Linked DNA regions of Mus musculus. The protein of the gene in region 1 interacts with the protein of each later gene in a pairwise test. Links are inferred from orthologs where the notes say so. Each region holds a gene or a part of one and is shown in the gene's direction. Other genes may lie near its edges. The genes, in order: Trim27, Ilf2, Tle5, Atpaf2, Trim32, Tcea2 and Bag5.

Evidence for each region.
Region 2: the proteins of Trim27 (region 1) and Ilf2 interact in binary tests that used the Homo sapiens proteins (3 or more experiments, as listed by UniProt). The two-hybrid records come from large-scale screens. The link is inferred for Mus musculus from reciprocal best matches to the Homo sapiens genes TRIM27 and ILF2.
Region 3: the proteins of Trim27 (region 1) and Tle5 interact in binary tests that used the Homo sapiens proteins (3 or more experiments, as listed by UniProt). The two-hybrid records come from large-scale screens. The link is inferred for Mus musculus from reciprocal best matches to the Homo sapiens genes TRIM27 and TLE5.
Region 4: the proteins of Trim27 (region 1) and Atpaf2 interact in binary tests that used the Homo sapiens proteins (3 or more experiments, as listed by UniProt). The two-hybrid records come from large-scale screens. The link is inferred for Mus musculus from reciprocal best matches to the Homo sapiens genes TRIM27 and ATPAF2.
Region 5: the proteins of Trim27 (region 1) and Trim32 interact in a two-hybrid assay, tested with the Homo sapiens proteins (2 studies listed by BioGRID and IntAct). The link is inferred for Mus musculus from reciprocal best matches to the Homo sapiens genes TRIM27 and TRIM32.
Region 6: the proteins of Trim27 (region 1) and Tcea2 interact in binary tests that used the Homo sapiens proteins (3 or more experiments, as listed by UniProt). The two-hybrid records come from large-scale screens. The link is inferred for Mus musculus from reciprocal best matches to the Homo sapiens genes TRIM27 and TCEA2.
Region 7: the proteins of Trim27 (region 1) and Bag5 interact in binary tests that used the Homo sapiens proteins (3 or more experiments, as listed by UniProt). The two-hybrid records come from large-scale screens. The link is inferred for Mus musculus from reciprocal best matches to the Homo sapiens genes TRIM27 and BAG5.

What each region holds. Positions count from the first base shown.
Region 1 is NC_000079.6:21,189,931-21,192,576, forward strand, and holds part of Trim27 (zinc finger protein RFP), read left to right. Parts: coding exon 1-40; intron 41-161; coding exon 162-194; intron 195-662; exon of another isoform or gene 663-756; intron 757-1,289; coding exon 1,290-1,316; intron 1,317-2,099; coding exon 2,100-2,646. UniProt on the Homo sapiens protein: E3 ubiquitin-protein ligase that mediates ubiquitination of various substrates and thereby plays a role in diffent processes including proliferation, innate immunity, apoptosis, immune response or autophagy.
Region 2 is NC_000069.6:90,479,201-90,482,700, forward strand, and holds part of Ilf2 (interleukin enhancer-binding factor 2), read left to right. Parts: intron 1-1,403; coding exon 1,404-1,508; intron 1,509-1,792; coding exon 1,793-1,870; intron 1,871-2,163; coding exon 2,164-2,266; intron 2,267-3,500. UniProt on the Homo sapiens protein: Chromatin-interacting protein that forms a stable heterodimer with interleukin enhancer-binding factor 3/ILF3 and plays a role in several biological processes including transcription, innate immunity or cell growth.
Region 3 is NC_000076.6:81,564,658-81,566,871, forward strand, and holds the end of Tle5 (TLE family member 5), read left to right. Parts: intron 1-15; coding exon 16-60; intron 61-155; exon of another isoform or gene 156-190; coding exon 191-253; intron 254-634; coding exon 635-709; intron 710-814; coding exon 815-1,036; 3' UTR 1,037-1,714; downstream 1,715-2,214. UniProt on the Homo sapiens protein: Transcriptional corepressor. Acts as a dominant repressor towards other family members. Inhibits NF-kappa-B-regulated gene expression. May be required for the initiation and maintenance of the differentiated state.
Region 4 is NC_000077.6:60,403,580-60,407,034, reverse strand, and holds part of Atpaf2 (ATP synthase mitochondrial F1 complex assembly factor 2), read left to right. Parts: intron 1-1,157; exon of another isoform or gene 1,158-1,178; coding exon 1,179-1,259; intron 1,260-2,542; coding exon 2,543-2,655; intron 2,656-3,082; coding exon 3,083-3,198; intron 3,199-3,455. UniProt on the Homo sapiens protein: Plays a role in the assembly of the F1 component of the mitochondrial ATP synthase (ATPase).
Region 5 is NC_000070.6:65,603,677-65,607,785, forward strand, and holds the start of Trim32 (E3 ubiquitin-protein ligase TRIM32), read left to right. Parts: upstream 1-1,309; 5' UTR 1,310-1,393; exon of another isoform or gene 1,394-1,607; intron 1,608-1,639; exon of another isoform or gene 1,640-1,881; intron 1,882-4,109. UniProt on the Homo sapiens protein: E3 ubiquitin ligase that plays a role in various biological processes including neural stem cell differentiation, innate immunity, inflammatory resonse and autophagy.
Region 6 is NC_000068.7:181,678,852-181,683,096, forward strand, and holds the start of Tcea2 (transcription elongation factor A protein 2), read left to right. Parts: upstream 1-1,445; 5' UTR 1,446-1,555; coding exon 1,556-1,624; exon of another isoform or gene 1,625-2,386; intron 2,387-4,245. UniProt on the Homo sapiens protein: Necessary for efficient RNA polymerase II transcription elongation past template-encoded arresting sites.
Region 7 is NC_000078.6:111,710,457-111,714,584, reverse strand, and holds the start of Bag5 (BAG family molecular chaperone regulator 5), read left to right. Parts: upstream 1-1,328; 5' UTR 1,329-1,541; exon of another isoform or gene 1,542-2,058; intron 2,059-3,172; 5' UTR 3,173-3,197; coding exon 3,198-4,128. Other genes in the region: Coa8 (cytochrome c oxidase assembly factor 8), read right to left, coding at 1,167-1,292. UniProt on the Homo sapiens protein: Co-chaperone for HSP/HSP70 proteins. It functions as a nucleotide-exchange factor promoting the release of ADP from HSP70, thereby activating HSP70-mediated protein refolding.

The sequences.
Region 1 (2,646 bases):
AAATGTCTGTTTTTGACAGAAAGTCTAAAACAGTTCACAGGTAATATGAGGAAGAGAGTGGGTTTATATTCTGAGTGTGTTGTTATCATTGTCATCTGAGGATGGATTTTCTAACCAGTTAAGAGTCATATAAACCGAATCTCTTCTTTTTTTGTTTTTAGAAAAGATGCAGTCAGATATGGAGAAGATCCAAGGTAAATTTACCTATTTCCTGAGCTCTTGACATTTTAAGTTTCTTGGAAAGAAGCGAGTATATAGACAGTCCAGGGGGTGTCAACAAGATAGCTCAGTAAGTGCAGTCACTTACTGGGCAAACCTGTCGACCTGAGTCTGCTACTTGGAACCTATACAAAGGTATAAGGAAAGAACAGAATCCACGTGTGTAATGACATTTGTGATCGCACACGCACACACACGCACACGTTATTCATGTGCTTCCCTACCTGACACCGTTGCTTTAGTTTGGGTTTGGTTGAGACAGTCATAATGTGTAGCCCAGTCTAGCCTATTACTCACCGGTCTCCTGCCTCAGACCTTCTGCCTCTGGGGTTACAGGTGTGGCGCCATATCCACAGCTACGTTTAGTTCGGTGGCTAGTAACCAGAAGTGGCTTTCCTTGATCTGATTCTTCTTTCTCTTCCTCTTCCTTTGCCACTTCAAAGACTTGTGTGAAATCCTTGGCCAGCTAGAAACCCCACATAAATTAATGATGGCAGTGGGTGTCATTTGAGCCACCCAGCCTCTACAGCAAAGATGGTTCGTACAAGTTAAGAGTTATATATATTATATGTCATGCATTTGAACTTTGCCTTTGCAGAATCCAGTGGCTCTCTGGAGGGTGGAATTCTTGATCTTGGCTCAGTGTGATACCATGTTTTACAAAGTTCATACATGTTATCTGTATAGCCAAGGTTCCCAAACCCCTAACCCTAAAAATCCTTGCATGTGCAAAGCATAGTGGTGCATGCCTGTAAACCTAGTACCTCACAGCTCATCAGCAGTGACTGCCATGAGTTTGAAGCCAGCCTGGCCATACAGTGAGTTTCAGGTCAGCCTGAGTTACATAGTAAGACTGTCTTTCTAAAAGAGAAAAAAAAATTCCTGGGCAGATAAGCAGATATGGAGTCATAACATCAAATGAAAATCAGTACCCAATTGACACAGGCGTTCTGCAATGCTAGTGGGTTCCACTGCTTTATGGTTTGTTTTTTGTTTTTTGTTTTTTCACTTAACATGTTTCCTAGAAAGACACACAGGTTCAGTAACTTCTTTTCTCTCTTGTCTTTCAGAGTTGAGAGAGGCTCAGTTATACTCAGGTAGGTACCTGAAGACAAACCATGTTGAAGAAAGGATTAAAAGCCCTATGAGCCTGACCACTATTATAAGTGCTTTGAGACAGCCTCAAGTTTGAATCCTTTAGTTGCATATACACAGATATCATACAGCCAGAAGCCCAGTAGTTGGGAACATGAGGCAGGGACATCAGGAGTTTAAGGCCATTTTTTTGCTACTTAGTTAATCCACATAGATTTCTGTTTCAAAAAAGATAAAGGGAAAAACTTAAAAGAGTGGATGTTCAAGGCAAATTCTCAGAACAAATACAAGAATGATTTGAAAGGTGGTAATATTAAACTTTAGCTAAAACTATTGGCCACCAAAGTTTTCAAATTCAGAAATTAGACATATGTAAAGAAGCTTTAAATGAAATCTCCGAAGGAGGTTGAGCCTTAGATGTGAGAAAAGGAGTGGGAAGTAAAATTGTATTACTTTCATTGTTATCCATACAGAGGCAATCAGCTAATCTAACCGTAAATTTTTAGGTTCTGAGTCAGGGTCTTACTATGTAACACTGACCATGCAACATGGGCTGGTCTGGAACTCCTGAAGATAACTTCTGCCTCAGTCTCCACGTGTGCCACCATGCTTAGTTCCAAGAGAATTTTTTTACATAATCAGTTCACCGTGTGTCTGATATATAATGAGTACAGCCTCTGGTGGGCATCTCCTACAGTGTTCTGGGGAAGTCAGTGAAATACCAGGTAGTCTTGAGTGGGCTCTTCTGGCCCTCAGATGACACCCCCCCCCCTTTGTTTCTACAGTTGATGTAACCCTGGACCCAGACACAGCCTATCCCAGTCTGATTCTTTCTGATAATCTTCGGCAAGTACGGTACAGTTACCTCCAGCAGGATCTTCCAGACAACCCTGAGCGATTCAATCTGTTTCCCTGTGTCTTGGGCTCTCCATGTTTCATCGCTGGGAGACATTACTGGGAGGTAGAGGTGGGAGATAAAGCCAAGTGGACCATAGGTGTCTGTGAAGACTCGGTGTGCAGAAAAGGTGGGGTGACCTCAGCCCCCCAGAATGGATTCTGGGCAGTGTCATTGTGGTATGGGAAAGAATATTGGGCTCTTACATCCCCAATGACTGCACTACCCCTGCGGACCCCTCTCCAGAGAGTAGGGATTTTCTTGGACTATGATGCTGGTGAGGTTTCCTTCTACAATGTGACAGAGAGATGCCATACCTTTACTTTCTCTCACGCTACCTTCTGTGGGCCAGTCCGGCCCTACTTCAGCCTAAGCTACTCGGGAGGGAAGAGCGCAGCTCCTTTGATCATCTGCCCTATGAGTGGGATTGATGGGTT
Region 2 (3,500 bases), on another chromosome or scaffold:
TTGGGAGGCAGAGGCAGGTGGATTTCTGAATTCGAGGCCAGCCTGGTTTACAGAGTGAGTTCCTGGACAGTCAGGGCTATACAGAGAAACCCTGTCTCGAAAAACCAAAAAAAAAAATATATATATATATATGAGTACATCATTGCTCTCTTCAGACACACCAGAAGAGGGCATCAGATCCGATTACAGATAGTTGTGAGCCACCATGTGGTTGCTGGGAATTAAACTCAGGTTCTCTGGAAGAGCAGTCAGTGCTCTTAACTGCTGAGCCATCTCTCTGGCCCGTTTTTTTTTTGTTTTGTTTTTTTAATTCTAAAGATTTATGTGTGTGTGTCTGCATGTATGTGTACCACACACATGCCTAGTACCAGAGGAAGCTGAAGAGGGAGTTAGATTCCTTGGAACTGTAGTTAACTGGTGGTTGTGAGACCCATGTGGGTGCTGGGAACTGAACCTGGGCCCTTTAAGAACAGCCAGTGCTTTTAACTGCTAAGTCATCCCTCCAGCCTCTATTATTATTATTTTCATTATTTTAAAATGATATACTTTTATATACATTGGTGTTTTGCCTCTTTCTATATGTATATATGTACTATATATTATATACATATGCATATATAATCTGTGTGAGGGTGTTAGATCCTCTGGAAGTGAAATTACAGAGAGCTGTGAGCTGCCATGTGGGCACTGGGAATTGAACCTGGGTCCTCTACAAAAGCAGTCTGAGCCATCTCTTTAGTCCCTCTATATTTAAGAAGTTCTTTTTATTACAGTCAGTACTACATGTACACCACAGCAAGTGTGTGGTGATGGATCAGAGGACAACTTGTAGGATTTAGTTTTCTGTGTGGGTCCCAGAATTGATGACTTAGGCCTTTGTTGCCAAGCTATCTCACTGGGTCCTGTTTATATATTTTTGAGACCAGATCTCATGAAGCTGGTTTTGAACTGCTAGTTCTCCTGTCTCTTTCTTCAAAGGGTTGGGATTACAAGGATATAACAATTTTCTTTTCCTATTGTAGTATCAAAAAAAAAAATCTTATGTATTTTCTTTCTCAATTTTTTTTTTTCTTCCCAAGACAGGGTTTCTGTACTTAGTTCTGGCTGTCCTGGAACTTACTCCGTAGACCAGGCTAGCCTCAAATAACTCACAGAGATCCTTTTTTTAAAAGATTTATGTATGTAGCTTATGTATATCAGTGCCCTGTCTGCACATACATCTACACACCAGAAGAAGGAATCGGATCCCATTACAGATGGTTGTGAGCTACCATGTGGTTACTCAGAATTGAACTCAGGACCTCTGGAAGAGGAGGCAATGCTCTTAAACCGCTGAGCCAGCTCTTTAGTCCCTCTTCTATGAATTATTTTTGATAAATAACATGATTTGATTTCTGGTCTAGTGTGAAATGGCTTTTCCCCGGGTCAAGCCAGCACCTGATGAGACCTCCTTCAGTGAAGCCTTGCTGAAGAGGAATCAAGACCTTGCCCCTAATTCTGCTGAGCAGGTATGTGCTTTCCTTGGGCTGTGTCAAAAGCCTCGAGTTACGCTCTACCCTATTCTGGTTAAGGAGAGTGCTGTCTTGCCTGCGATTATAAGCCAGTGGTAATCACTTGAGGCCCTTAGGTTTGATTCCCATCAAGAATGCTGTCAGAGCCCAAACTCCTCTGGGTGTGTAATTATTCATCTTCCTTCTTATTGTATGTGGGGAGTCTGGTGATGATGATGACATTAAATATATATTGTGTGTAATTTTTGGCTTAGGGTATTTTTGCTTTGTGATGTTTTCAGGCTTCCATCCTTTCTTTGGTGACAAAAATCAACAATGTGATTGACAACTTGATTGTGGCCCCAGGAACATTTGAAGTGGTGAGTTTTTGATGACTTAATTCTAAGAAAGGGTATCTCTGGTGGTATGGAAATTTACTTGGCTCTTGCCTGTTAATCTTTCAGTTGTCTGTTATCCAAATTAAAGCCTAAAATGGAAAAGTACAGAGAAATCACTGGTCAGCTAGCCATGCCCAGGGCTCTCTGTGGTTATCTGGGGGATGTGATTTTATCATTGCTGCTTCCAAATCTGGGTATTTAGAAGCAGCTGAAATGGTTCTATGAGGACTCAACACCTTTATTTTCTTAAACTTACTTGAAATCCCTTTCAACAGCAAATTGAAGAAGTCCGGCAGGTAGGATCATATAAAAAGGGAACAATGACTACAGGACACAATGTGGCTGACCTGGTGGTAATACTAAAGATCCTGCCAACATGTAAGTGTATCTCTTATCTTTCTGCGTTGGAGATGGTGCACAGGGCCTTGGGCATGCTAGCTTGTCATGGTATGCCTGAAAGCACAGGGCTCCTCAAGGTTTTGAGTTTGTTACTGAATATGTAGTGGCCATAGCAGTCAGGTCAGTGTAGGTCAGAGGTTAGCAGGAGTCTCAGCCCACTCTTTTTCTTTTCTTTCTTTCAAAGATTTTAATGGATTTATTTCTATTACTGTTAAGGGTGTATGTATGTATGTATATGTATATGTATATGTATATGTATATGTATATGTATATGTATATGTATATGTATATGTATATGTATATGTATGCATACCATGTGCATGGCCTTGGGCTTATGGAGGTTAGAAGAGGGCTTTGGATTTCCTGGAACTGGAGTTACAGATGATTATGAACCATCAAATGGATGTTGGGAACTGAACCCAGGTCCTCTACAAGAGGAACAAGCACTCTTAACCTGAGGCATTTCTCCAGCCACCCCAGCCCACTTTCCTAAGCATTGAGATTAGATTTAAGGCTAGTAATAATTGAAGCCCAGATTCATTTGTTTATTTCGTCATTATTTGTGTGTGAATGTATGGAAGGAAAATAGCAAATATATTATTTACTTATTGTTTGTTTGTTTTGAAACAAGGTCTCACTATGTAGCCCTAGTTGTCTTCCAGCTTGCAGAGATCTGCTTGTCTCTATGTTCTGAGTGTTGTTATTAAAGGTGTACACCATCATACCAGTCTGTTTGTTTGTTGTTGTTGTTGGTGTACATGTGTAAGGTAATAGTGACGTACACCTTTAGTCCCAGCACGTGGAAGGCAGAGGCAGCCAGATATCTGAGATCGAGGTTACCTTTACACAGGGAAACCCTGTCTCAAAAAACGAAAACAAAAGAAAACCAAAAAAGAGAAAGAAAAAAAGATGTGTATACCCGAGAATTCTTATTCTGAGTCATTCAAATTCTGTCCAGGCTTTTATTACACTGGTAAGAGTGTTCATTCTAGTTGAGTAAGCTTCAGTCTGTGGGGTAGAAATAGAGATGCTAAGTTGTTTACTAATAGAGGAAATCGGGCTCAGCGGTTAAGAGCACTGACTGCTCTTCCAGAGGTCCTGAGTTCAAATCCCAGCTGCCACATGGCGTCTCACAGCCATCTGTAATGGGATCCAGTGCTGCCTTCTGGTGTGTCTGAAGACAGCAATGGTGTATTCACATACATGAAATAAA
Region 3 (2,214 bases), on another chromosome or scaffold:
CTCTCCACCTCACAGTACTATGAGATGTCCTACGGATTGAACATCGAGATGCACAAACAGGTAAGTCTCACTGTCCTCCTCCATGTCCTCAATGCCCTGTGATTCCCAGACTGAGCGTTAAGGCCACTCCCGTTACCCCCTCCCACCCCTCCAAGTGCCCCAGGTACTGAGGGAAAATCGTGTGTTCCAGGCGGAAATTGTGAAGAGGCTGAATGGGATTTGCGCCCAGGTTCTGCCCTATTTGTCACAGGAGGTAAGCAAGCCACCAGCAGGGGGCAGTGGGGTCCCCTCCGCACCTTGCTGAGCACTCCCTGGGCACGCACCTGCCCTTTCTGAGCTTAGCAAAGGTGAGACGTGGAGCAGCTGCACTCAGACCCCTGTGGCAAGGCAGAAAGAGCTCCCTGGGTGGGCGGGCACAGGCGATGGGAGCCCCCCCCCAGCTCTAAGGAAATTCCTGTGAAGTTGGATTCCTAGTCTCCCACCCCAGCAGCCCCTGAGCCCCTAGGACAGGACTTCTCTTGCGCTTTTGCACTGGTTGCCTACTGCACAGGAGTCGCCATTCCCCCGCCCCCGCCCCTCAGTCCCTTTCCAGCTTTGCCTGAGAGAACTCTGTCCCCTCCCTTGCCTATTCCAGCATCAGCAGCAGGTCCTGGGAGCCATCGAGAGAGCCAAGCAGGTCACGGCTCCTGAGCTGAACTCCATCATCCGAGTAAGTCGGAGCCTCTGGTGGACTGGGGACTGACTTGACCTGGGTGGCCAGGGTCAGGTGACAAGACCCTGGGCTGACTCTGTCACCCCCACCCCCACCCCACAGCAGCAGCTCCAGGCTCACCAGCTGTCCCAGCTGCAGGCGCTGGCCCTGCCCCTGACACCGCTGCCTGTCGGGCTCCAGCCACCGTCCCTCCCTGCAGTCAGTGCAGGCACAGGCCTGCTGTCACTCTCTGCTCTGGGTTCTCAGACCCACCTCTCCAAGGAGGACAAGAACGGACACGATGGGGACACCCACCAGGAGGATGACGGAGAGAAGTCGGATTAGCTCTTGGGGAAGGGGGAGGGGGGAGACCAGGGGAGACAGGCACAGAGAGCGCAGTGTTCTAAGGGCCACACAGCACACAGCTCTGTCACTACCCAAGCTTACACCTCCAGTCCTGGTTCTGGCTGTGCACCCTGGGCCTAGGGGACGCCAGAGGGACACCCCAGGCTAAGGGTTCTTCCCCACCTTCAACATTTCCCTGGGCCACAGCCACCAATCTCGGCCCAGAATGTACACAACGCTAGCTGCCCCTTTCCACCCTGTGCACCCCGAATCTGCCCCTATCCCCTTCTCTGCTTCCTGCACTGCACACCTGCTAGTCCCAGACCCCTCCCCCCAGCTCCCCCAGCTCCGGTTCCCTCAACCACAAAAGAAGGGGACAGAGAGAAAGCATTGGCTCGGGACTGCAGTGGGGGTGGGCACCCCACAAACTTCCCTCCCCTCTTCCCCAAATAAACGTGAGGGTTAAAAGTTGGTTTGTTTATGATTTCTTTCTTGTGCCAGTATTCTATAGCTATCATCTCAGAAAGGAAAAGAAGGAAGCCCCAGGAGTGTCTGTCATAGGGTTAGCTTTGTTGGTCGCCTTGGTCTCTGTCCAGAGGTCAAAGGCCAAGCCGCTGTACTGAGGATGGGGTCTAGCTGTGCCTTCAAAATAAAAACATGAAAAGGTTGGCCACTGTGTCCCTGCTTCTGTCTTGTGGGTGGGGACCCCTTTCCTCAGGGCACCCCGTGTCCTGCAATAAGACATCCCTGGAGCAACCAAAGACCCAGAGAGGGTGAGCTGGGGACCTGGGCCCAGACAGTGCAACTCAGTGCTCAGATTTCACACTGTTTTGGCAGGGTGGCTGTGGTACCCACATGGGTCCCTTGGTTACCTTCTGGGAGATGGCCTGGATGCTCCCTGTACCCCTCCCAAGCTAGGCTGTCCCCTGGGCATGCGCCTCGGTTTGGGGACCTTTTCCTTTCTTGTTTTTCTGAAACAGGGTTTTCTCTGTATAGCCCTGAATGCCCTGGACTCATTCCTCAAACTCACAGAAATTTTCCAGCCTCTGTTTTCCAAGGCCAGGGATTAGTCTTGTGTGCCACCTGTTTTCTTTATCTGCTTTGTTTTCTGTTTTGTTTTTCTGTTTGCTGGTTTATCATGTCTGTGTCCTGTTTGAGGACGCCTTGCAGGGATCTGT
Region 4 (3,455 bases), on another chromosome or scaffold:
GACCCATTGGCCAACCCCCAGCAGCACATCTGGCCCTCAATGTGTTCATGTATTAGCATCCCTGTCATTACAAGTGGCAATAATCAGGGGCCAGTCTCTCCCAATTCTGAATTCTCCCCTGTGTCTGTATTTGCTTGTTGGAGAGTGATAGTAAAGGAACATCAGAGAAACAGCTGAATGATTGCGCAGTACTGGGCCTGCTGGCCCTATTACTCAGAGGCTTGGAGTCACCCCCCACCCCCAGGGATTGCTTGGCATGCTAGCATAGGTACTCTGAAAAGAAGGGAGTAGGAAAGCCTACTCTGTTTTTGCTAGGGAACAGTGGCTTGCAGGGAACAGAGTTCATTCTGCCTCCCTTTGGTAAAGAAGGCTTCTTAAAAACTATACAGGGTTCCAACAAATAAACAAAGGCAGTTGGACCAAGTTCTACCTGCCTCCACTCTTCAGGTCCAGGATTGGGTAGGGAGGAAAGGCTTCCTGCTCTGCTCTCAGCAGCTCAGCTTCTCTGCATTCTCCTCTGCTTACAAACTAGCTTTCTGTGGTGCCCTAGGGTTCCCATCCATGAGACTGTGCAAGTTAGCGCCTATCAACTGACCCTTCTGTGTCTTTATCAAAATGATTCTGTGGTGATCCCCTTGGGAAAAGGAGCCACTCCAGGAGGTGGCTAGGCTCTTGAGGTCAGCAGGCATTTGGTCCTTGGTCAGGAGCAGGGGCTGTCACTGAACTTGTAGCACAGCACTGTGTCCAGTGGGTATGGATCCCATTTTTATTGCAGGTCTGCTTTTGAGTAGCACTAACATGGGCTAGTTTGGACCTGTCAAGTACTTGGGAACTGGAAGGTAGTGGATTGCAACTCAAGCTACAGTAAAAGTCCCTGGAGGGCATGTGGGAACATGACCAGAACCCCAGAGGTTCTGCTTGTCATCAGTGTGGGATTTATCTAAGAAAGTGTCCAGGTAGTGAGCTTCTGAAGGGAGGCTAGAGCTGGTGCTACTGGCCCAAGTGGTTCCTTTACCCCTTGGCTACACTCTGAGCACCATGGCTTTATGGGACAAGACTTAGGAAGCTGGGTTGTTGGTGTAAAGTTTTTGCTTTTGCCCTTTGCATTTTCCTTTTCTGTCCCTCAATGAAGGACTTGTACTTTTTTATTAATGAAGGTGGTTTTTACAATGAATTAGCTACAGGGTGGAAGAGCCAGAGACATTAGTGGAACTTCAGAAGAACGAATGGGATCCCGTCATAGAGTGGGCTGAGAAAAGGTAAGGTGTGCAGCCCCACATGGAGCGTTGAATAGACCTAGGATTGGGTTGGGTGCTGGGGTCAGGGCCACACAGTACAGCTGCAATCTCAGGCTGCCTTCCTGAGCTTAAGCTCCCTCAGGTATTGAGAGGTAGGGGTTACCTTGTTAAACACGTTCCTCAAAATCATTTTGGTCAGGCTGGAGAGATGGCTCAGCGGTTAAGAGCACTGACTGCTCTTCCAGAGGTCCTGAGTTCAGTTCCCAGCAACCACATGGTGGCTCACAACCATCTGTAAAGGGATCCGATGCCCTCTTCTGGTGCTGTCTGATGTCAGCTACAGTTTACTCATATACATGAGATAAATAAACTAAAAAAAAATCATTTTGGTCATTGTGTCCCAAATAACTGCTACTGGGGCATACCATGACAAATGCAGGGGCAGCTCTAAGTCCCCAAGAAGCACCAAAGGCCCCAGCTCTCTCCCCCAGCAGGTCTCTGAGCCTTGGTTTGTTTGACTTGCAATGGACTAATCCAGCCTGCCTGCAAGGCTAATTGGGGAAGGTAAACCAGCAAAGAAAGCACTTAGCACTCAACTCAGCAGAGGTAACAACTCAAATTTTGGTTTTTAAAAAACTTTTTCATTATTATTATCTGTATTATCATTGCTGCACTACTAAGTAAACGTGACTATGTAAGATACACGTGTGCATAGACAGAGGTCAGGGTAGCTTCCTGCAGCATTGTGAACACTATTTGTGGATGTGTGGCTTCTAGAGATTGATAGTACTCAACGCTTTCCTTAACACAAGGCTCCAGTAAGTACAGAGTTGAACAGATGTTGATAAGGTAGCAAAATAAATTCAGCGTCAGCTCTTTCCAGGTGGAATGGGAAGGGGTAGTCCCCACGGCTCTGCCTTGTCTGCAGGGTTGTGGAATAAATACCTAGGTGATTTTCCTTCTGTTGTAACAATTTTCACAGAACTTATCACTTGTTATACATTTCCTGAGTCCTCACAATGACCCAGGCATCCTGTGAGGGACTATTTTCATTTGTTTGTTTGTTTTGATTCTTTGAAATAAGGTCTCACATAATCCAGGCACACTGGCCTTCTGCCCGTGATCATCCTGCCTCAGCCTTCTGAGTGCTGTGATCATAGGTGTGCACCTCCATGCACTGCCATCCTGAGGAAAGCACATGCGCCATATCTGTTGGTTTGGTTTGGTTTTTTGCTTCTGGTTAAAAGTTAGACTGCTTTTGGGGAACAGTGTGCCAGAGACATGCTCATGCCTTCCCCTTATAGGTACGGTATGGAGATCGGCTCCTCCACCAGCATAATGGGACCCAGCATCCCTACCCAGACCCGAGAGGTGCTTACCAGCCACTTGTCCTCTTACAACATGTGGGCTCTGCAAGGTACAGTTTGGGCTTCATGGGCCTAGAGGGTTGGGTACCTAGTGACACATCCCTCTTGAGTCCTCTTGAGCATGGAGGCTGGGTGGCTTTGATGTCCTACCCCTTTACTTAGTTCTCCAGGGTCACATAGCCTCCAAGAAAAGTCTGGACTTCGTGTATCATTAGTTTAGACCCATATAGCCATCTTTTAACCAATCATGGAGTGGGGCCTGGGGGATATGCCAATTAGCCCCGTTCAGGTCATATACTTATCCAAGAAAAGGCAGAGGTGAGTTACCCCAAGACAAGGAGGAGTATTCTGTCAGGAGAGTGTGTCAAGCTCAGGTGGGTCTTAGGATGGTGCCTCCTACCCCCTGTCCATGAGGGAATAGAAACTGACAGGCAGTAGGCTATCAGTTCTGACTGGGCTTGTGTCCCCTACCCCTAGGGATTGAGTTTGTAGTGGCCCAGCTCAAATCCATGTTGCTGACTTTGGGCCTGATTGACTTGCGCCTGACTGTGGAACAAGCTGTGCTTCTGTCACGCCTGGAGGAAGAGTACCAGGTAAGTTCTGATCTCAGTTCCCACCTTAACCCTTTCTGATTCAGATTCATTGAATTTTATTACTTTGTACATGTAAAAAAAAAAATCAAACTAAGGAACAGTAAAGATTGCTCAGGCTAAGGGTATGGCTCACTATATGCTAGAGTATGCTAGCCTAGTATGCTCTGGGCCCTGGGTTCCATCATCAGCACCACACACACACATACCCATGCATGTGAAAGGGTTCAGAGTTGTTCAGTACTCTCCTCGCCCCCCAA
Region 5 (4,109 bases), on another chromosome or scaffold:
TTTACCTTATAGTCAGAAGATTGTTAGGCCAGAGTCATAGGTTGTTAATAAATGGCCATTAAGAGAACTAAAGCTAGCCCAAGATAAATTGACTATGTGTCTACAATATGTTTTATCCTTTCCCAGTTCTAGGTATTTGGTCAGTCCATAGAATTGCCAGCACAGATATAATTTCTTCAAGGAACTTTGAGTCACATATTCTCTGGGAAAGCCTTGGGAGTTCTGGGTGCCTGGGTTGGCTCAGGGCTCTAGAATTATCTGAGATATCAAATTGTACTCAGAATGTATAATCAGGAAATCCGGCCAGGGATAAAATCATGTGAGAACTCCTGAATCACTGAGAAGAGAAACAAGTTGGAGAATGAATAGCCTGGTTCAGAGTTCCATCAAAATCGATGCCAGGTGTATACCGAACCTTGGACAAGATGTGTGGGACAGGGGCGGGAGTGAGGTGGGGGAAGGGGATAAATTTACTTTTCCCACCTTTCTGAGTTATTAGTAACTCATCAAAACAATCCTTAACTTTATTTTGAGATAAAGAAGTAGAAAAATGAAGTTAAGAGTGATTCTGGGAAATTAAAGCCAGGTTCTGACAGGTAGAAACTGGTTACTTTGCCTTTTAACCCCTAGGTCTCAGCTTCTTTTCAAAGTCTGTAGTCTGTCGGAAAGTGTCTAAAGGTATTACTGTTTTTGTTTTGTTGTCTTATCATTGTGCAGAGGGTACACAGCTAGGTGGAATTTCAAATATGAGAGCATAATATTTCAGATTCCTTCATATTCCTCACTAGTACTGTGTGTTTATCGCATTCAGGAGCAGGTATTACCTGTCCACAAACTACCTTCAGGACCAGGAGGTCCTGGCCACAAAACCTCCCGTCTGACAAGGCTCAATGCAGGCTTTTCCCTGTTTCTCCCTCTGCTATCCGCCTCTGCGCTGTTTGGCAAAGAAAACGTCTTTCCTAAGGGGCATGTGTTCAGTGACTCCACTTTGGGATGTGTCACAGGCAGAAACACCTAGCCCGGGGACCTGCAGCTCTTTGAAGGGAGTGTGCTTGTCTTCTTCAAAGAGGCGTCTGTCTGCAAAGTGCCCGAACTTTCTGGAGACTACTACTGGGGGATTAGCATTGACTAACCATGTTTAGACTCTGAAACGGGGCAGAAAGCTGCAATGGCCTAGGTTTCCGGAGCCATCCCTATCTATTCAGCTGGGCCGCGGGCGCTGAGCCCACAGACCTACAAGCCCCAGCATGCCTCGGGAGGCGGGGCAAGTTGACGGGCAGGCGACTGTACGAATTGGCGACTGCCATGGGAAGGACGTGCTAGCGCATGCGCAGAAGGCAGCGGGCGGGTGGGCTGGCAGCGGTGGACTCGCGTCGGAGCTGCGGGCGGTCAGGTAGGGGGCGGGAAGGAGGGTCTGCGACCAGGGACTGTGGTGGGTCGCGGGGATCCAAGATTGAATGGCAGGATTTGGGGACTGGATCGGAGTGGCAGGATCGGATTCGGAAGGGACGGGCTCAGGAGCGATTCGGCGGAGATGAGATGCAGCTGGGGGAGGGGAGCAAAGGGGCTGAGGAAATTTGCAGTTGCAGCATGTCGGGAGGTATGAGGTAATGTGGGGGCCATGCGGAGAGACGGGGTGCAGCATGTGGGAGATGGGAGGATCTGACGTCCCTGGAGGTATCTGGGTGCAGAATATCAGAAAGCATAAAGGAATTTGGCAGGCCTGGATGAGGTTGGGTGTTGGCGGGCAGAATCTTAGGGGCTTTGAGGAGATCGGTGTAATGATAGCAAGATCTGAGATCAAAACAGCCAAGGTCTTGGAAGATCCTAATTGCTGAAGAGAAAGGGATTTCTGTAGCGGAATCTGGGAAAGACTGAGGGGTGAGTTCCCGAGGGAATCAGTACCCAGTTAGAAAATCGCAGCAAAGGTTTGAAGGCAACACGTGAGGCAGGACGGGGGCGGAGGTGGGGGGCGGGGGTTGGAGGTGGCCCAGTACAAGATGGGGATGATGGGCAGATGAGCGATCAGATTGAAGGAGGGCAGAAATCTGAGGTACAGGATTGGAGTTTGGAGATGGCATACAGGGGTGATAGATGTGGGAATTTGAAAATAGATTAAAGGATGTATTGGAGGGATGAGGGACACATAAGAGCTATTGGTGAATTGCAAGGCTGCAGCATACAGTCTAAAAGGTTGAATGATAGATTTGGGATTTAGCGTTGAGAATGAGGTTTGTGGAGAATGAATGGTGGGGAGTGAATGCTGTAACTAGATTATAGAATTCAAAACCAAATGAAATTTGTGAGTAGGTTCTTAGGAGGTTTTTGTTTGTTTTTGTTTTTGTTTTGGTCTTGGCATAACTGAACCCAGAGGGTCTTCTGGAGACCCAGGGACCTGAAAGTAATTTATAAATAAACTATGTATAAATGAATGGAATTTAGGAGAATGTAAGGGTTTGGGAATAAAGACACCAGTCTTCAGAAATCCTGAAGGAGAGTTTGACATTCTTTGAAGGGCAGATTCTTCCTCACTTACTAACTAAAGGCCCTTTAATCCTGAGGCAGGCATGTATTCTGACTATACCCACTCTGACCACCCCCACCTCCTCATCACAGACCCGATATTATAGGCCTTGGGGAAGAAGCAGTGAACTACCTAAGGGCTTCTGCTACCTAGCCTTTTCCCTGTCCAAGGTATGAGCCAAAATGATCTTCAACCTAATATTATCTTATAGGAGGTCCATTATAGCTCACAGAGACAATGGTTCTGGGTGAGAAACAAAACAAGGTTGGAACAAGGCGGAGCCTCCTGTCTACTGAGTATTTAGCCTGTGCCATTACCTAAAGCCAGGGTTCTCAGACAGGGTGCTTTTGTTCTGCCAGGAAACATTTGACCGTGTCTGGATGGAGGCATTGTCAGTTGTCATAGTTGAGGGGTTGTGTGTGTGTGGGGGGGGGGATACTTGGGGGGGGGGATACTGGTTTCTAGTGAACAACCCCTACAATAAACTATCATTTAGCTAGAAATGGCAGTCATGCCAAAATGGGTCCTGGCATCAGAGTCAAGAATGCTCTGGTTAGATCCTGGCATTATTTATTTATTTATTTGTTTATTTATTTATTTATTTATTTTTCTCTTTCTGCTTTGTAACCTTTAAAGAGTCAATTGACCTCTCAGTGCACAAGCTCTTCAGGGACCTACGTCATAGAATGGCTGTGAGGACTCAGTGTACTAAATCAGGGTGCTTACTGTTTGGTGCCCAGTAAAAGTGCTCAGAATTTACTACTTTTGAAAATATGTGTGCTTTCTTCTCATGATATTCCTTCTAAATATACATTCACTGTTCAGTGTTACCCACGAAACTAAGGCTTAGGAGGTCACTTGTCTAAAGCCACATTCCTGCCATGTAGCTCCCCGCCACATCCTCTCTTCCATTGCTGGTTTGCTGCGGTCGGCTTGGTCTTCCCTTTGCAGCCTCTCCTAAGGAAAGGGAGGCTTGCCCCGTAGTCAGAAGCTGGGTGACTTCTCTTGATTAAGAGAAGCCCTGGACTTTGTTCTTGCTTTGCTCTTAGACCAGAGCCAATGGGGAGATAGTGCAAGGAGCTTGGAGCTACACGGCTGAGATAAGGAGGGCTCAGGCTCAAGGGCAGTGCTAGACGGAAGGAAACTGCTCTGAATGTTCTCCTTTGTGCATCTTGTCTCTGGCACAGAAGGGCAGCATTGTCTTTATCAACTCCAATCCTAGCTACGCTACAGAAGGCAGTTTAGAGAACAAAATTAGACTGGAGCTGAGGGCAGAACACTTAGCTGCGATGACATCAACTCAGATCGCTTAGGAAAACACCTGACGGAGGTTGAGTTGGCCGTGGAATCGGCTGTTTTACTGCTTGCTTGGTGGTCAAGCACTTGCCAGCCTCTGTCTGAAAACACAGCGAGCTCGGCTGAGTGCTGATTAATGTGCATTCTCTCCATAAGGCCCACAATCTAAATGTTACTCCTGATTCTACAAGGCAGAAAGTGAAGAGCCACTTGTTAAATGACATATCCTGGGTTACAGAGCAAGTGGCTAATTTGGGCATATAAATCAGAAGTCACATGCTGGCAAGCC
Region 6 (4,245 bases), on another chromosome or scaffold:
ACCAACCCCACAAGTAAGGACCCCTCAGGATTGAACACACCTTTGATCTGGCTTCTTGTGACATAGCTCCCCTGCTGGTGATCTACTGGATTTTCCTCAGGAAAGAGCCTGTTCTTGAGCAGATCTGTGGGTGGCTCCTGCCACCTACAGGCTGCTGTTGCTCATCATTGGGACCAGTCAGAGCTGGGACTACTCAGTAGGCAGTCCCTTGATGGGGTCAAGTCATCAGCCAAACACAGCATGGCTGAAGGTCCTGTGGTTCTCTTACTGCCTGTCTTGTGGTAGGGTCCTGAAAGCATTAATTCAGTACTCAAACACAGGGTTCCCTTTCCCAGAATTTTTGTTGTTGTTGTTGGGTTTAGCTTAGAGCAAGGGCCCAGCTCTCAGTAAAGGGCAGAATGAGAGGTGGTATGAAACTAGAGAGCTGGGTTCAGCCATCACTGCACCTCTGGAAAAGCTTTGTTGCCTTCAAGAAGTTCCATGCCTTTTTCTTATGGTAAAGATGTCATAACTGATTAAAACGGTCAGCTTAGGTCATTTGTGTATGTCATTTGCACTCTGGCCTCCTGGGTACAAAAAAATTCAGATTGACTTTTAGTACCAGCACACCTGCCACCATGTATAGGACAGAAGAAGAGCAGAGCACCATTCTCCCTTTCCTGGACGTGGTTAGGGTCTTCCTGAGGTAATGCCTCAGTAGCGGATTGCCTCAGTACCCTGCCCTGTTCTCAGTGTAAAATATGAATCGGAGGCTCCTGATCGCAGCCTCTGTCATTGTCACTTCACAGGTTGGGAGACTGAGACGTACAACAATGTGCAGAACTTGGGGTTTATACCGTTAGGTTGACTTCAGAACCTGAATAGTTCTCCCCACTCCCACCCCCCACCCCCGAGACAGGGTTTCTCTGTGTAACCCTGAATGTATTGGAACTAGCTCTGTAGACCAGGCTGACCTTGAACTCACAGGGATCTGCTTGACTCTCTATCTCTCGAGTGCAGGGATTAAAAAGGCATGAGCCTACATTGCTTGGCTAAAGCCTGAATTCTTGCGGAGAAACCGTTTCAGAGTCCCGGCCACCTGCGCAGCGCCAAGAAAGCCCCCAAACTCGGCTTGGTACCAAGTGAAGTGTGTGGAGTGAGCTGAGTGACTCTCGGAAGTGGAGGCGATCTAAGTGCACTAGTGAAGGCGCGACCGGCCGCCAGGGCAAGCTGCTCAGATGGGTTGAATTAAAGACCTGAGCGCAGTAGGGTTGTCCTTCTCCCTCCTCTAGGTCCTCCCTCCCCCTGGCATTCGGTGGGCACGTGGGGCCGTGGTCCGGCGGAGATACCTGCGGAACTACCTTTTCCAGCGGGCAATCAGGCCGCAGGCCGCAGGCCGCGCAGTCGTCTGGGAGTTGTGGTCCCGGGGGCGGGGACTCTTTTTTTTTTTTTTTTTTTTTAATTCTGTCGCACGCGGCCGCCAGGCGGAGGTTTGGACCGCGGATCTAGGCGGCGGCGGCGGCCGAGGTCAGGCCGGGCGGCGCAACCGGCACAACCCGCCGCCACCGAGGTAGTGATGGGCAAGGAGGAAGAGATTGCTCGTATCGCCCGGAGGCTGGACAAAATGGTGACCAGGAAGAACGCGGTGAGGGGCGCGGGCCGCCAGGACCCTGGGGCCCCGCTCCGCGGAGACCGTCTGAGCCTACCCTCGGGCAGAGTGATACCTAGCCCAGTCAGTCGAGACCCCTTGCCCAGGCCCGCCCTCCACCCTGTCCTGGGACTGCCGCTTCGCAATGGACGCCGCGTTGACCGAAAGCTACCCTCTGTTCGTCGCCCAGCGGTGGCCGCGGGCGTCCCTGGCCCAGCCGTTGTCTCCCCTGTCTGCCCCCCACCCTTCAGCACCAGGTTTCTCTTAATAAATTTTTCCCCTGCTTAGTCAGGCCTCAGGCAACAGCAAGTCGGTTTGGGCAGACAGTTGAGCCTGTGGCGTTGAGACCCCTGGCCAGTGTGGGCTTGGCAGTCCAGCCTGCCTTCCGACCATGGTCACCTGCGTAGCCTTTGAGGAGCATCCTTAGGGGATGATGGCACCTGCAATCTTGCCTTCCGTGGGTGGGAAGGGACTTAGGAGGTGGCTTTAAGACTGAGTGACTCTAGAGCATCCGCAGCACCGCTCTGAGGGCAGCCCAGATAGTGGCTGAGTCATGAGTCTGTACAGCCTCCCCAGGACTGTGCTTGAAGTAGAAGGCTGCAGGACAGCTTTTGGGGATGAGCAGGATTGCTCTAGGGGTTGGAGGGCTGGGGTCTAAAACAGGAAGTAGGTTAAGTGCCCACATAAGCCTTTACACTGGAAACAGAACCCACTTTGCAATCATCTGGGCTACAGAGGCCCTGCTGGAGCTTCTTTCCGGTAAGAGAAAGCACAAATGACAAACTTGGAACTAAGGGTGGCAGAGATAGGATGGGAATCCAAAGGGAGACCCAGTAAGGATGGAAGGCCACAGATAGGACTGTACAGTTGAGAAGGGAACCTGCAGAGGTTCCAGTAGTCCTTGAGAGAGGCTCCTTGGAACAGCTGATGGTTTATCTGGGTTTTCATTATGGGAGTGCAGGGCTATTGTGGATGCATGCCCCTGGCTCCAAGGATCAGGTCTTCTTAGCAAAGTCAGCCACCTCAGGGCTGATTGGTGTACAGCTTACTAACTTAGGGCCATGAAACAAGGCTGCAGCCTGAGCAGATAAGTCACACAGATTGAAGGGTCAGCCCCAGCCCCTACCACGGCTGGATGGGTTGGTTTTCTCTGCCTCTTTGTGGCATATAAAGACAAATGAGCTCATAGTGGAAACTTGGAGGACAGCAAACACAATAGTGTTGGGTGTTAGAAGAAAAGGCTGTCTCAGTTGTAGGAAGGAGGTGTTTGAATATAACCTGGAAGTGGTAAAGAGAAGAGCAGCCTTAAGCAGAGTGAGGTTTAAGGTAGGAACCAGAGGAGCCTGCCTACCCTTGAGGTTCAAAGAACAGAGCTTAGGCAGAGGAAGAAAATCAGGGTTTTCTGTTACAGTACCTAGGAGGAGGGTGGTGACCAGTCTGGAAAAGAGATAAAAAGTGAGACTATGGGATTTGTAGGTGCTGGCTTTAAGAAAAACTTCCCTTTGTATATTTAATTTTATTTATTTTACATTTGTTATCTCGGTGAGTGTGTAAGTATGAGGACAACCCCTGGAAATTGGTTATCTCCTCCCACCATTTGGGCTCTGGAGATTGAACTTAGGTTGTACAGCTTGTTGGCACCTTTATCTGCTGAGTCAACTCACCTGCCCACCCCTTTGATAGTGGGTATTGAACCCAGGGCCTTAACTTACCAAGTGAGAGCTTTATCACAGCTGTGTCTACACAGCCCTCTCTTTACTTTGTTTTAAGACAAGGTCTCATTAAGATGCCCATGCTAATCTTGAATTCACTCTGAAACTCAGGTAAGCTTTGAACTTTTGATCCTCTTGCCCCAGCCTCCTAAGTATCTCTGAGATGATAAGGCCTGTGTCACCAGGTTTGGTAGTTTTCAATTAGCAATAATTGTGCCTCTGATAAACCTTGTTGGCTATGGTGCTGTTACTTTGCAAATCTGTGGCTGGAGTAGAGATTCCTGAGAGTTTAGGTAGAGGCTTTTAAGGTAGGAACAGGAAGAGCCTGCCTACTCTGGAGGTGCAGCCTGCCTGTAGATGCTGGGGAAAAGCCAGGGCAGAGGAAGGCAGCCAGGGTTGTCTGTTACAGTACCCAGGAGTAGTGCTGCCCTGATGGGTAGGCGCTTTGAGGAGAGGCTGCTCTCCCACCACAGCACAGATGGACCAAGGTTAAAGAACCCGTGCTATACCCGTGAATGTCCTTCCGTGTTGAGCAGGAGTTGGGGCATTTATTTTCTCTAGTAGTTTGTTCAGTGTCCTCCTGTGGTTAGTTACCATGATGTCTGGAGATCACCGTAGATGCAGGATGAGAAACCCCCTGATCTTTGAGGAGAGCACTGTTGAGCTGTTTGCCTCTATTCCTGCCCTATGGCAGGAGCAGTAAAAAGCCCCTGTTGTGATGTAGGAACAGGTATGGAGTGCTCTGGGAATCTCAGGGTAGAGGAGTGGCTTCTTTCTGACATGTAAGTTGCCCCCTGGTGATGACAAAGAGGTAGGATTGTCCACTATGCCCCCTGACAAGTGTTTTCTGTGTAATCCTGGCCATTCTGGAACTCCTGGCCTCACTCTGTAGGCCAGGCTGGCCTT
Region 7 (4,128 bases), on another chromosome or scaffold:
TGCCAGGAAACTGAGCCAGAGGCCAGGGTCCTAAGGCAACAAATCTAAACTGGAGTAGTCAGAACTTCAAAGCTAAAAGTGTGCAAGGAGACACAGCATAGCAGAGATGAAAATTTTCACAGCAAGCACATTTTGCAATTCTTAATTTTCTCCATCTCTCTTCTCTCTCCTCATCCCTCCTTCCCTCTCTTCATTATTGCTTAAACCAAGCTCTCTAGTCTCTATCACTAGCTTAGTGGTCATTGAAGTGTTAGTAGCCACTGATTAATGTTTTACCTCCAGCCTTAGCGTTTTCATATGACTGATAGACTCTAAACCTAGGCCTTTTTTTTTTTTTCCCGAGACAGGGTTTCTCTGTGTAGCCCTGTCCTGGAACTCACTCTGTAGACCAGGCTAGCCTCAAACTCAGAAATCTGCCTGCCTCTGCCTCCCGAGTGCTGGGATTAAGGCGTGGGCCACCACGCCTGGCAACCTAGGCCTTCCTTAAGCAAAGCATTCTGTTGCAAAGAAGTGCAACTGAGGGCTGGTGAGATGGCTCAGTGGGTAAGGGCACCTGACTGCTCTTTGGAAGGTCCAGAGTTCAAATCCCAGCAACCACATGGTAGTTCACAGCCATCCGTAACGAGATGTGAACTCCCTTTTCTGGAGTGTCTGAAGGCAGCTACAGTGTACTTACATATAATAAATAAATAAATCTTAAAAAAAAAAAAAAAAGAAGTGCAACTGACTAAAAAAAAAAAGCTTTATTTAGTTTTATATATGTGAGTGCATTGTTACTGTCTTCGGTGTTCCTAACAGCTGAACCATCTCTCCAGCCCAGCAATTGTTTTTTTGAAAAAGGCTTCACGCCCATTCTTGCTGCAGACCTGCACTGTGGATCTCTGACATCGCGTGCACGTTTACAAACAATGCGAAGTCTACAGAAGTGGGATGATGAAGTCAGCCACGGCTTTAAGTCGAACACTAATCTTAACGATGCGAAAATGAGAAAGAACACCCTTCAAGAGCTGTGTTAATACAAATGGGAATTAACTCGGGGATAAGCAAGGCTCGCGCTCTCCACAGCGGATCCCGGGCAGTGATCATCAGTCCGTCGGAGAGGTGCAGGCGGCGTGGGTTTGCTCGGCGGCCTTCCTCCCTGCCAGCGCCCCCGGCGTCCCGCTTACCCGGCTGGACGCCGCATCCCTGTGATCCGTAGGGCGCTCACGGGCCAACCTAACGCCGCCGCCGCCGGAGAAGGACCGGCAGAGAAGCCGGCGAAGCGCTCTGCTTCCGGGCCGCAAAGCCGCCATGGCCCGCGCGTACGGCAGGATCGCGACAGTGGAAAGGTTGGCGTTACGGCGGCGTCGCAAAGCCCGAGCCGACGCGCGGCGAGGCCGACCGTGCGCATTCCCTGGGACGGACGCCGGGCGGCGGGGCCCGCGCGGGACGAGGAGAGGACAAGTTTTCCCCGGGCTCACTGCTGACGGGCCCGCTCTGCGAGGACGGCGACAACGCTGCGGAAGTGTAGGTGGCGGGGCGCGATGGCGCGTGCGGCCCAGGTGAGCGTGGGGCGAGGGCGCGAGCTCCGTTCTCCCGGCCTCGGGCGCTCCGCCGCCCTCGCTGCGCAGGCCCGCGCCCGCCGCGCGCCCATTGTGAGGTCAGGCGGCGGCGCGTCCGGCCGGGCCGAGACCCGGGAGCGGCCGCCGCGGCCAGTAGCTGCCGCCGCCTCCGCCGGCCCCTTCACCGGCTGCCCGGGTCAGACCTAGCCGGGAAGGGCGAGGGGGGATGCCGCTGGGGGCACCGCTGCGGTGCCGCTCCCCGTGAAGGGCCGATCTCCCACCTCGCAGCCCCCCGCGGCAGCCAAGACCGCCGCCGCCCAGACCTCCCGGGGTAAAAGCTCTGCGAGGGCCGGGCTTGGACCCTCCCGGGGACTGAGTTCTGTGGCCTGCCCGCCAGAAGTGAGCTGTTTGACAGAAACCTGAGAGCGTGGGAAATGCTCTAAGCGCACATACCGGGAGGCGAGTGACCGAGTTAATCGCAGTCGGCAGGTTTGGGCGGCGGGTATTTGAAGTCAGGGTGAGGATTTGGAAGTTTCGTAGCTCCTCTTTCAGAAAAGTAGAAAGTTAGCTAGCTGTCTGGACGAATGGTGCTCCTGTGAGTGTGGAAGAGCTACTGTTAACTTCCAAACTGGTTCCAGAGAGTAGATTAGGATGGGGGGGGGGGGGATCTAAGGAAATTGTGTTGCTAACCTGGTGGGTTGACTAGAATGGCAGTGTACGCAGCTCGCTCTCATGGTTTAAGACAGAATTCATAGGCCTAGACATCCACCCAGGCTGGATCATGAGGACCTTCTGTCTGTCGTTCAAATCCCTACCGTGTTCCCCTATTTCCGTTTTGCTTTGAATTCTTAGGGTCACCAAGTAGCCCATGGTGATCTTGAATTCGTAGTTCCCTTTCCTCTGTATCCCCGACGCTAGGATTGTAGGGATACACCAGCACACCGGTGAGCTTGCTTTGTTTTGTTCCTGTCCAGCTGTTTTCAGGAGAGGGAGTTGACATGTCACATCTTCCCTTTCCTCAAGCAACCTTTTACACCTTTGACGAAACCTTTTGTGTATTTTGGTGCATGCCCAGGTGCCAGAGTTTGGCCTCCCTGCCCGCCCACCATCATTTCCTTGGTGTCCTTTGACTTTGGCTTTTGAAGTGGGGCTTCCCATGGTCCTGAAGGTCCTCGGTTAGGCTAACCTGGGCTGGCCAGTGAATCACGAGATCCATCTATCGCCGTCTCCCCGGCACTGGCTTGCCTGGCTTTTCTGTTTTACTTCATGGGCGTTGGCGCTTCGCCTGCATGGATGTCTGTGCATCACTGTGTGCCTGGTGCCTCTGAAGACAGAAAGGGAATCAGATGCCCTGGGACTGGGGTTACCTGTGTGGTCATGCACTGTCATGTGAGTGCTGGTAATCAAACCCAGGTCCTCTAGCCAGCACCTTTAACCACTGAGCCCTCTCTCCAGCTCCGCCCCAGCTTTTTTTTTTCCACATGTGTTCTGGAATTCCAGCTTGGACACTTGATGAAAAATTATCTCCACAGCCCGAATGAGCCCTTTTAACAAGTGTACTAAGAAGGAGTGTTTAGAGTGGGTTCTTGTCCTGCAGAGACTAATACGTTATCATTCTTGCTATCTTTCAGTGCTTGTGAAACTGAACACAGAAGTATGGATATGGGAAACCAACACCCCTCCATTAGTAGGCTTCAGGAGATCCAGCGGGAAGTAAAGGCTATAGAGCCGCAAGTGGTCGGCTTCAGCGGCCTGTCGGATGACAAGAACTACAAGAGGCTGGAGAGGATTCTGACCAAACAACTTTTTGAAATTGACTCTGTGGATACGGAAGGAAAAGGAGATATCCAGCAAGCTAGGAAGCGGGCGGCACAGGAGACAGAACGTCTCCTCAAGGAGTTGGAGCAGAATGCCAACCACCCACACCGCATCGAAATCCAGAATATCTTTAAGGAGGCTCAGGCCCTTGTGAAAGACAAGATTGTGCCCTTTTACAGCGGAGGCAACTGTGTGACTGACGAGTTTGAGGAAGGCATCCAGGACATCATTCTGAGGCTGACGCACGTGAAGACCGGAGGGAAGGTCTCCTTGCGGAAAGCCAGGTACCGCACGCTCACCAAGATCTGCGCGGTACAGGAGGTTATTGAGGACTGTATGAAGAAGCAGCCGTCCCTGCCACTGTCTGAGGATGTGCATCCTTCAGTGGCCAAAATCAACTCTGTCATGTGCGAGGTGAACAAGGCCAGAGGGACGCTGATCGCACTTCTGATGGGCGTGGACAGTTCCGAGACTTGCAGGCACTTATCCTGCGTGCTGTCAGGACTGATTGCTGACTTAGATGCTCTAGATGTGTGTGGGCGTACAGAGATCAGAAATTATCGGAGGGAGGTGGTGGAAGATATCAACAAATTACTGAAATACCTAGACTTAGAAGAGGAAGCTGACAGTACACATGCATTTGACCTGGGACAGAACCATTCCATTATAAAAATAGAAAATGTTCTCAAGAGGATGAGAGAGATAAAAAATGAACTTCTCCAGGCGCAGAGCCCTCCTGAGTTGTACCTGAGGGCCAAGACAGAGCTGC